3 linked regions of the Sus scrofa genome follow. The protein of the gene in region 2 binds, or shares a complex with, the protein of the main gene of each other region. Links are inferred from orthologs where the notes say so. Each region holds a gene or a part of one and is shown on either strand. Other genes may lie near its edges. The genes, in order: LSM5, USP39 and PRPF4.

Region 1 (3,749 bases), on a different chromosome or scaffold from region 2:
AATACTTTTGATCTGAGCCCTAAGATCCCTCACTGCTTTTAGTGTCTTTTACCTTAAAGCTTTGTTTCCACTAATTTCCTAACAATTAAGGTAATAATCCTACAATCCAATTTTACTAACCTCAGTCATAAAATTTCTATGTTAGTGATTCAAACAGGCAGTGTTTTCTCATACATCATTTTACTGACTCAACAGTGCTACAACTGCCTTAAAGAGAGATTCCCCCTGCCCAATTCTTTAATTTTTAACACTACTCACAATTCAGTGACATCTTCCAGTACCATATCTGAAATTTGGTGTTAAGAAAATATATACCATGTTAAATTTACTCTGGCTTCTGTCTTTGTTCAGTTTTAATTATAACATTGGGAGTTCCCATCATGGCTCAGTGGTTAACAAATCCAACTAGGAACCATGAGGTTGCGGGTTCAATCCCTGGCCTTGCTCAGTGGGTTAAGGATCTGGCGTTGCCATGAGCTGTGGTGTAGGTCGAAGATGTGGCTTGGATACATCATTGCTGTGGCTCTGGCGTAGGCCAGCAGCTTACAGCTCCGATCAGACCCCTAGTCTGAGTACCTCCCTATGCCGAGGGAGCGGCCCTAGAAAAGGCAAAAAGACAAAAAATAAAAATAAAAAAATAACATTTAACATAATGACTCAAATTCAAATTGCTTGCGATTGGTAGGGGTACACACACCCCTTAAAACACTACCACGAATTCCATGAGAATAAATTAATTTTTATTATAATAATCAGTAAGCACTGACTATAGTTCTTACTTTTTTAAAAAAAACTGAAGATGGAGTTCCCGTCGTGGCGCAGTGGTTAACAAATCCGACTAGGAACCATGAGGTCGCGGGTTCCGTCCCTGGCCTTGCTCAGTGGGTTAAGGATCCGGCGTTGCCGTGAGCTGTGGTGTAGGTTTCAGATGCAGCTCGGATCCCGCTTTGCTGTGACTCTGGTGTAGGCCGGTGGCTACAGCTCCGATTCGACCCCTAGCCTGGGAACCTCCATATGCCATGGGAGCAGCCCTAGAAAAGACATAAAAAATAATAACAAAAAAAAATTTTTTTAATTAAAAAACAAAGAAAAACCCATACCCCCACTTTTTAAAAGGATACTGACAAAGTCATCAAATCCGAGAAGCGTGCCAACAATCTCTTTATCACTCTTCATCACAATGTGAATTCTTGATCCTATACACTTGTCTACAAGCTCTATAGATACAGGTTTTTTAAAAGAAAAATAAGTGGGGGGAGGGGTGAAAAAAATTATTTTGCACATTCATTACTTCAAGAAATATGTGAGTACTTACTGGCACTTATTACTTACATATGGTGAAAGATAAACCAAGAAAAGGATTCACTCAAAAACTTCAGGTCTCGGGAGTTCCCGTTGTGGCGCAGCAGAAACGAAGGCCAGCAGCTACAGTTCCAATGGGACCCCTAGCCTGGGAACCTCCATGTGCCTCGGGTGCGGGCCTAAAAAGAAACTTTTTTTTGTTCAATGAAGGAAAAAACTTTCCAATTACCGCCACGTCCACTAACTTAATTACCCTTCAGATACAAAATATTAGAAAAAGACATAACTGTCTTCCCCAGCCCCAAGACGGCTATCCTCTGTTCTCTGAGAGCAGCTTGAATATCTCTTCAGCAGAATTACTGTTACTTGGTATGATGTTTAATTGTCTGGCATCCTGTCTCCTGCGCTGGCATGAATGCTACCTGAAGCTAAGTTACGATGTCTAGTCTACAGATGCGCAAAAACTGTTTGTGGAATAAATGAATGACAATCAGAGCTAATTTCCAGTGTCCCCTTTTAAAGCTCATTGCAGACCCCGCTACCTCTCTCAATAACGGGCCAGACAGACAACAGGGTCTAACCTAGGGATTTTAAATGCCAGGTAGAAGAATGGGACTGCTATCCACTACTGTAAAGGCGAACTCACAACAAAAAAGGCCGACGACGCATTCACTAAGTGTGAACCTTTTCCAGTGACGGTTTGGTGTGAGAACTCAGAAAGTCCTGGCTCAAGAAAACCCTTCCACGCCGAAAAGACGCGGGCGGCCTGAGGCCTCAGAGCCTTAGAGCCCAAAGAGCCGCGGATAAAGAAAACAATTGGTCAGATACATTTCTCTAACACTCAGTCAAGGACTGCGCTGGCCCTCGGCCCGCAACCCTTCAGCTCCCCTCCCCAGCTCCCCACAGGACAACGATTACCTAGAGGTAGCAGCTGCGACGGGTTAGTCGTAGCGTTAGCCGCCATGGCTACGCCGGAAGTGGCCAGCCTCTACCGACGTTGGGAAGGCGAGTTTGAAAGAGCGCGCTTCCGCTTTTTTCCCCTAGCCCGGCCAGGCTCGACCAATCTGAGGCCGAGCGTGCGATCGGGCCAGTCCTACGTGAATCGCTCGGAGTCACTTCTTTCCTCCGCAACGAGATCCGGGGGAATACATCAGTGCGTTGAACATTCTGCGGCCTCAGCAGATACTTTGCCCTCCAAGTTTCCAAGACAAATTAAAGATATCTTGCCTTATAAATAAAATATTCCTCAACCTGGAAGACTGCAAAATAGAAACGTTTGAGTCGTTTGATTTTCCCTGGGTTATATTTCATTTCAACCAAGGATCTTCTGAAGACCAACATAAATATTTTTTCCGCCACTGATTTTATTGTGTTGCAATTTTTGTTAAAAAACAAAAGCAAAAACTTTTTTTTTTTACAGGAATCTACCGCTTTTTTTTTTTTTTTTTTTTTTTTTTTTCTTTTTAAGGCCACAGAGCAGATACATGGAAGTTCCCAAGCTAGGAGTCAAATCGAGCTGCAGCTGCCGGCCTAGCCACAGCCACAGCAATGTGGGTTTGAGCCGCAGCTCGCAGCAACAAGGGGATCCTTAATCCACTGAACGACCCCAGGAATCCAACACACGCTCAGGTATACTAGTTGGATTCTTAATCCTCTAAGCCACAAAGGAGAACTCCCTACCTTTTTTTTTTTTTTTTTTTTCTTTTCTTTTCTTTTCTAGGGCTGCACCTGCAGCATATGGAGGTTCCCAGGCTAGGGGTCTAATCGGAGCTGTTGCTGTCAGACTACGCCAGAACCACAGCAACTGCCAGATCCAAGCCACGTTTGCGACCTACACCACAACTCAGGCACAACGCCGGATCCTTAACCTACTGAGCGAGGCCAGGGATCGAACAGGCAACCTCATGGTTCCTAGTCGGATTCCTTAACCACTGAGCCACCACAGGAACTCCCCTACCTTCTTTTAAAGGTTCAGTGTAGGAGTTTCCATTGTGGCTCAGTGGTAAGGAACCCAACCAGTACCTGGGGACAGGGGATTGGATCCCTGGCCCCACACAATGGGCTAAGGATCCGGGGTTGTCATGAACTGCAATTGTAGGTCTCAGACGTGGCTGGGATCTGCTTTGCTGTGGCCTAGGCCAGAAGCTACAGCTACGATTTGATCCCCTAGCCTGGGAACCTCCATAGACTGCAGAGTGCGGCCCTAAAAAGACCAAAGGAAAAAAAGTTTGCAAACCCATAGCTAGCTTTAAAGAAATACTTTTCTGGGGGTTCCCCTCGTGGCTCAAAGGTAAGGAACTGGATTAGTATCCTTGAGGACAAGGGTTCAATCCCTGGCCTTGATAAGTGGATTAAGGACCTGGCCTTGCTCTGAGCGCTGGTGTGGGTCGCACAGGTGGCTCTGATACAGTGCGGCTGTGGCTGTAGGTAGGCCACAGCTACAGCTC
Region 2 (3,649 bases):
GAATATAAAAACAGTATTTCAGGTGTTCTCCGGTCACCAGGTTAAGGATCCAGTGCTGTCACTGCTGTGGCTTGAGGGGGCACAGCTATGGTGAGCATTCATCCCCTAGCCTGGGAATTCCCACATGCCATTGGTGCAGCCAAAAAAAAAGCAGGAACCAACAGGTTAAAAAAAATTCTCCCAGTACAGAATCAAAAAGGAGTAAATTTGTCAAAAATGAAGAAAGGAATTAAACCAAGAAACAGTTAACTCAGCAGATAAAAAGAACCTTTTAACTTAATGAAGAGCAATGTTAAATAATAATTTTTTTTTTCCTTTTTCAGCTTCCCCCATGGAATATGGACATTCCCGGGCCAGGGATAGAACCCAAGCCAGAGCTGCAACCTACATCACAGCTGCAGTGATGCAGGATCCTTAACATACTTTAGTGGGCTGGGATCAAACCCACGGCTCCACAGAGACAAGGTGGATCATTAACCCACTGCACCACAACAGGAACTCCAGAATAAATTTTTTTATTTTATTGGTATTTTAGGTCTGTTTTTCCCACCTTTAATACTAATATTACACACACACACACACACACACACACACACACACACACACACACACACACACACACGTATTTTTTAGGGCTGTGCCCACTGCATATGAAAGTTCCCAGGCTAGGGGTTGAATCGGAGCTACAGCTGCTGGCCTGTGCCATAGCTATAGCAATGCAGGATCTAAGCTGAGTCTGCAACCTATACCACAGCTCACGGCAACGCCGGATCCTCAAACCACTGGGCAAGGCCAGGGATTGAACATGCATCCTCATGGATCCTAGTCAGGTTTGTTAACCACTGAGCCATGAAGGGAACTCCAGATGTTTTATATGTGTGTGTGTGTGTGTGTGTGTGTGTGTGTGTGTGTGTGTGTATGTATATATATGTGTATGTGTATATGTATGTATATGTGTATGTGTATATGTGTATGTGTATATGTATATATATATATATATATATATTTTTTTTTTTTTTTGTCTTTTTGCCTTTTTCTAGGGCCGCTTCCCTCGGCATATGGAGGTTCCCAGGCTGGGGGTCTAATTGGAGCTGTAGCCACTGGCCTACTCCGGAGCTACAGCCACGGGGGATCCGAGCTGCGCCTGTGACCTACACCACAGCTTACGGCAACACCGGATCCTTAACCCACTGAGCAAGGCCAGGGATCGAACCCACAACCTCATGGTTCCTAGTCAGATATGTTAACCACTGAGCCACGACGGGAACTCCCGGATGTTATATTTTTTAAAAGATGGGAGTTCTTCCTGCTTTTGTGAGTTTTACCCCCTCCTTTCTCCACAATACCCAGAGGTATTAAAACTCAAGTTAGGAGCTGGGGGTGAAAGAGCATGGAGTCTGAGAGGCTCAACAGGCACAATACACTTGAAATAAAAGCGTTACATACATGTGGTGATTTCCAAGTATAAAAAGACAAACATCAAGAGAAAGAGGGGGATCAGCAGGGCAGGTGTGCAAATGGGCTACCTTCTCAGTGATGCCGTTGAACTTGGCCAGGATGTTGAAGAGGGGCACTTGGGGGATAATGAGCTGCTCCTTCTCGTCCTTGTACAGGGGGGCGGTAGGGAGGTCCAGCGTCAGGTACATAAAAGTGGACTCCACCATCGTCTCCTGGTACTCATCATTGTGAAGCAGCTGCTCTTTTTCTTCTGCTGGCTAGAAATGAGTGATAAGAAAAAGGAGGGAAGGAGTGGCAGGAGAGTGGAGAACATCACTGATAAAAGAAACCATGTTTCTATTTCATTTACTTCATTTAATATTGAGGTGAACCAAGAAGGGTGTCGGAGAGACTGGGCAGTCTCATGTGCAGCTGCACAACCTGTTTGTTTTACTTTTATTTGGGGGGGATGGGGGTGCTGTGCCTGTGGCATGTGGAAGTTCCCGGGCCAGGGATCAAACCCGTTCCGCAGCAGTGACCCAAGTGGCTGCAGTGACAACACTGGATCCTTAACCTGAGGCACCACAAGAGAATTTCTGCACAACCGTTTAGATTAATGCAAAAACTAGGCTTCCATCTTCAGAAAGATTTTCTTTAAATACCCCAGTACTGGAGTTCTCTTGTGGCACAGTGGGTTAAGGATCTGGTATTGTCATGAGAACAGCTTTCACCACTGCAGCCCCAGCTCAATCCCTGGTCTGGGAACTGAGATCCTACATAAAGCTGTGGCATGCTGCAGCCAAATAAATAAATAAATAAATAAAAATAAAAGCCTTTAGATGGACTAGAAAGCGTCTCTGAGCTTTCTGGAAAAAACACTCCAGCACCACCTAGTGGCCAGACCACTCAAATTAGTCACCTCTTAGTATCTATAAGAGGCTGGTTCTAGGATACACCTTGGATACCAAAACCCATGGATGCTTAGGTCCCACAGTTGGCCCTCCACATCCACAGATTCCACATCCGCAGACTCAACCAACTGTGAAATGTAAACAAAGTAGTTTTATGTATTGAAAAAAATCTGCATATAAGTGAACCAGTGCAGCTCAAACTGGTGGTGCTCAAAGGTCAATTGCATATCCAACGACTACCTCCCCAACCAGCACACCGATGCAACAGGGACCCAAGGGAAGTGCCACTTGGCAGGTGTTCTGAAGAGTCTCTCTCTTCCTGGATAAAAGGCTGTACCAGTTATCTAGACATCTCTTTGTCCACTCCAAATCCTGTCAGGCAACATAAATCAGCCCAAGGCTTGAGTTCAAAGCACTCACCAAGTCGGGATGAGGAAGCTTTTTAGTGAAGATCCTCATGGATCCCTGGAAGACGTCAGTCACTATAGCTGGACAAACCCAAGTCAAAAAGGCAAATTTTGTTAGGTAGGAAAGCATTTCCAAGTACAGTCCTAATTCCTCAATTTCTGAAATAAACCAGCCTCTTCCACTGTAAGACCCAAAGCTCTCACTAAACACAGAACATACGCCACATTGGTACCTCTAGAATTATTTGCGTAAGTAATGGTATACCTATCTTCTCCACAAGAAACCCACTGACCCTCAAGCACAGGGCTTGGCCCCTTAGAGAAAAATGAAGTGCGTCTGAAATAAATGAGTGATTTACAGAAACTGAAGATTAATGAATCACAAAAACATTAACAAATAAAGTAAGATACATTCAAGAAACTAGAATCAGAGTTCCCATCGTGGCGCAGTGGTTAACGAATCCGACTAGGAACCATGGGGTTGCGGGTTCGATCCCTGGCCTCGCTCAATGGGTTAAGGATCCGGCATTGCCGTGAGCTGTGGTGTAGGTCACAGTCGAGGCTCGGATCCCCCATGGCTGTAGCTCCGGAGTAGGCCAGTGGCTACAGCTCCAATTAGACCTCTAGCCTGGGAACCTCCATATGCCGTGAGGGCGGCCCAAGAAAATGACAAAAAGACAAAAATAAATAAATAAATAAACTAGAACCGTAATCGTGTGCGCCTGCAAAGGGACACCATGTCCACCCTGCACTGGACATAAAAGGAAAACGACAGGTTAAGGGATAGAGCAGGGCAAAACCAAAGCAATGAGAACGGAGCCACCACAGGGTTCTAGAATCCTGACAAGACAAAAGCTGGAGGGCTCTGGTGTGCATGGGCTGAAGATACCTGTA
Region 3 (3,749 bases), on a different chromosome or scaffold from region 2:
GCCCAATAAAGACAAAAGACAAAATAAATAAATAAATAAAATGAGGTATGTACAGTTCCCATCGTGGCGCAGTGGAAATGAATCTATCTGGGAACCATGAGGTTAAGGGTTCCATCCCTGGCCTCACTCAGAGGGTTGAGGATCCGGTGTTGTGGTGAGCTGTGGTACAGGCCGGCAGCTGTAGCTCTGATTAGACCCCTAGCCTGGGAACCTCCATATGCCGCAGGTGCGGCCCTAAAAAGCAAAAAAAAAGTATGTACAAACATAAATGATTATTACATGTTTCTAGGATGTAGCTAGGGACTGTGAAGTATACAAAAGATAAAATTTCCCCTCCTCCCATGAAGCCTGGGACTGAGACAAATGATATTATCAACACAAAACACTGACACATTACATTTCAAATTTTTTGGTACTAAATCAAATACGATTTTTTTTTTTTTTTTTTTTTGTCCTTTTAGGGCGCTCCCACAGCATATGGAAATTCCCAGGCTAGGGGTCTAATCAGAGCTGTGGCTGCCGGCCTACGCCAGGGCCACAGCAATGCCAGATCCGAGCCGCGTCTGCGACCTACACCACAGCTCACCCTAATGCCGGATCCTTAAGCTCCGGATCCAACTGAGCAAGGCCAGGGATCAAACCCACAACCTCTGGTTCCTAGTCGGATTCGTTTCTGCTGCGCCACGACAGGAACTCCCAAATCAAATAGGATCTTGATTCCAACGTAGACAAAGGCAAGAGGAAGCCAAAGTTCCAAGAGAATGCTTAAAAGAAAAAAACAACTGTGATACATTCTAACTTTCCCGCAAGCTGTAAAAAGCTCACCACTATGAAGAAGTATAGTGTAATGGGTAAAAGTGCTTGCTTTGGAGGCAAAGGGCAGAGACTCAAATTCTGTTGCCACTGATTTTGGACAATTAGCTTCGCCTTTCACTAGATCTTAGCTTCTTCCCTTGTATCTGTACTCAGGTGTTGTATGGATTGAATGACGTGATGCAGATAAGTGCCTGTAACGTACGTAACTTGGCATTTAGTAAACGCTCAAATATGTAGCCATTATTATTGTAACTGCCCTTGGAGAGGGTAGGAGGCTCTGTCCAGCTCGGGAAACAACAATAAATTTTGAAAAATCTCCACCCCCGATACGGGAGCAAAAACCTTGTCTTGTCGATCTCTGGTGCCCCAACACCCAGGGCAACACAGGGCTGTGCAGAGCTGCTTGCGCGCAGTTTACCTGACGCCTGACATTCTTCATCTCACTCCGAGTAATATAGACCAAACACAGGCCATGGCTCCTCCGCTGGCTCTTTATTTTACTCTGGCGCTAGAGGGCTCTTCGAGCTTATTCTTTCGCCACTGCCCAAATGCACCGAAAATCCACCCAGCTCAAAAGAAGCTGCCGAGAGAACTTCCCGACAGCGGAGGAAAGCACACTCCTTTCGCGGCTACAGGACCGCACTCCTGGGTCCGGGGCAAAGGTTTCCATGGCAACATGGTCCACCACTCTAGGAGGACTTAAAGCTCTTCGCAGGGCCGGGAGCGGCAGCAGACCCCGGAAGGTGCCGTTTCACTCCCGGAGTTCAGTCCGGAGGCGCGCGACTTGAAGCACCTACCTCTTTTCAGCCCTTTCCCGGAACCTCAGCGCCCACCCCGAATCTTCTGCTATGTCAACTGCACTACACCTCCCAGGTTGCTCTGAGTCTCTCTCCTCGCAGAACCTCGTCCTCCGCGTGCTCTTTTTAGAGGCTGTACGTGTCACAACGCTCAACGCACCCAGAGCCTTTCCTACTACGATTCCCATCATGCTCTACGGCGCCCAGGACGCGGCTTCGGCCCTCGGCCCACTTCCGGTCTGGACGTAATTCCGCTTTGTTAGGCGCGCGGTGGATGGTCTGGAACGTAGGGCTCGCCTCTTGCTGAAGCTTCGCGGCCTCGGAGCCCAGCATGGCTTCCTCGCGAGCCTCCTCCACGGTACGGATCTCGGCTCACTCTGGCAGGGCAGGGAGGGCGGAGGGGTGGGGGGTCCGTGCAGAACAGAGCCGTTAGGGAACGGGCGGTGGAGGACTGAGGAGGAAGGCTGCCAGACTCGGTCTGGTCTTAGAGAGCTGAGCAGCGTTTTTCTTTGAGTGACCGGAGTGTGTTTTAGGTCATTTTCATCTCTTACTACAACAACCCTAAAATGTAAATACCTCTTCCGTCTCGTTCAGAAACGGAGCTCTGAAAGGGAGTAGGGTTTTGGCCAAGATTTACGACAGTGTCAGTCTTGATTATAATGAGGCCTCCTAACTTCATATCTACTACCTCGCGTCTGAAAACGTTTGAATTGTATAGACCGGTAACTTTATAACTTGTTCCCCTTTATCATGGCGTTGGTTATTTCAGTTATTCTTGATATCTCCTGTGATGAGCAGTGGCCCTGAAAGTTTCATAAAACCCAAGAAGAGATTGCACCTCCAACCAAATGAAGTAAACATGTTCCAAAGCAAACCATTGATAGAAAAATCACAAGAGAAATTCACTAGTTTTATCTATCTCTTCCTATCTGCAAAACTTAAAGTGACTGAGAGACTGGAACACTCCCCCCTGCCCCACTCCATCAGGGAAGATACATCTTAATTGGTGTCCAACTTGTCTTTTTTGGGGGAGGGAATAGGATTGAAGCTCTGGATAAGCTTCATCCTCTGGGAAGCTAGCAAATTGCTGAGATTAAGCTTTAGGTTCATCCAGGTCTTTGATTTAACAGGCAACCAAAACTAAGGCACCTGATGACTTAGTCGCTCCTGTTGTGAAGAAACCACACATCTATTATGGAAGTTTGGAAGAAAAGGAGAGGGAACGGCTGGCCAAAGGAGAGTCTGGGATTTTGGGAAAAGAAGGACTTAAAGCAGGAATTGAAGCAGGGAATATTAACATAACCTCTGGTAAGATGCAAACTGTAGTCCATCTCTACTTTGGGTGCTCAAAATTTCTGTAATATTTACTTTCCTAAACGTAGATATCACAAGTATAGTGTCAGAAAACTTCGCATATTAAACTTGCATCTATTGGTGTTCCTATTGTGGCTCCCGGGTTACACGAACCCAACTTGTATCCAAGAGGATGCAGGTTGGATCCCTGACCTCATTCAAATGTGGATTAAAGGATCCACTGTTACTTTGAGCTGTGGTGTAGGTCTCAGACGTGGTTCAGATCCCAAGAGCCTGTGACTGTGTTGTAGGCTGGCAGCTGCAGCTCCAGTTTGACCCCTGGCCTGGGAACTTTCAAATGCCCCAAGTGCGGCCCTAACAAAGCAAAAAAACAAAAAAACAAACAAAAATTTGCATCTTTCGAAGGCCATACTTTCTGCCTACCCATTTAACATTACCCCAGAGCCTTTTTTCTTTTAACTTTTTTTTTTTTGTCTTTTTTGCCATTTCTTGGGCCACTCCCACGGCATATGGGAGGTTCCCAGGCTAGGGGTCTAATCGGAGCCGTAGCCGCCAGCCTATGCCAGAGCCACAGCAACTCGGGATCCAAGCTGCGTCTGCAACCTACACCACAGCTCACAGCAACGCCGGATCATTAACCCACTAAGCAAGGCCAGGGATCGAACCTGCAACCTCATGATTCCTAGTCAGATTCGTTAACCACTGCGCCACGACGGGAACTCCCAGAACCTTTTTTCTTAAAACCTTTTATACAGGTTTTCTTCCCTGAATTGTTAATAATTTTACTGGGAATTTATTCAGTGTGTGTTTGGATTCAGATTG

The links.
Region 1: USP39 (region 2) and LSM5 share a complex: the UniProt entries of both Homo sapiens proteins name them as parts of the U4/U6-U5 tri-snRNP complex. The link is inferred for Sus scrofa from reciprocal best matches to the Homo sapiens genes USP39 and LSM5.
Region 3: USP39 (region 2) and PRPF4 share a complex: the UniProt entries of both Homo sapiens proteins name them as parts of the U4/U6-U5 tri-snRNP complex. The link is inferred for Sus scrofa from reciprocal best matches to the Homo sapiens genes USP39 and PRPF4.

Annotation. Positions count from the first base shown.
Region 1 is NC_010460.4:40,751,000-40,754,748, reverse strand, and holds the start of LSM5 (U6 snRNA-associated Sm-like protein LSm5), read right to left. Parts: upstream 2,360-3,749; 5' UTR 2,267-2,359; coding exon 2,221-2,266; intron 2,210-2,220; exon of another isoform or gene 1,333-2,209; intron 1,218-1,332; coding exon 1,122-1,217; intron 287-1,121; coding exon 259-286; intron 1-258. UniProt on the Homo sapiens protein: Plays a role in pre-mRNA splicing as component of the U4/U6-U5 tri-snRNP complex that is involved in spliceosome assembly, and as component of the precatalytic spliceosome (spliceosome B complex).
Region 2 is NC_010445.4:59,132,481-59,136,129, forward strand, and holds part of USP39 (U4/U6.U5 tri-snRNP-associated protein 2), read right to left. Parts: intron 2,837-3,649; coding exon 2,769-2,836; intron 1,716-2,768; coding exon 1,527-1,715; intron 1-1,526.
Region 3 is NC_010443.5:253,904,851-253,908,599, forward strand, and holds the start of PRPF4 (U4/U6 small nuclear ribonucleoprotein Prp4), read left to right. Parts: upstream 1-1,407; 5' UTR 1,408-1,613; coding exon of another isoform or gene 1,614-1,804; 5' UTR 1,805-1,944; coding exon 1,945-1,971; intron 1,972-2,743; coding exon 2,744-2,921; intron 2,922-3,749. Other genes in the region: anaphase-promoting complex subunit CDC26, read right to left, coding at 1,614-1,804. UniProt on the Homo sapiens protein: Plays a role in pre-mRNA splicing as component of the U4/U6-U5 tri-snRNP complex that is involved in spliceosome assembly, and as component of the precatalytic spliceosome (spliceosome B complex).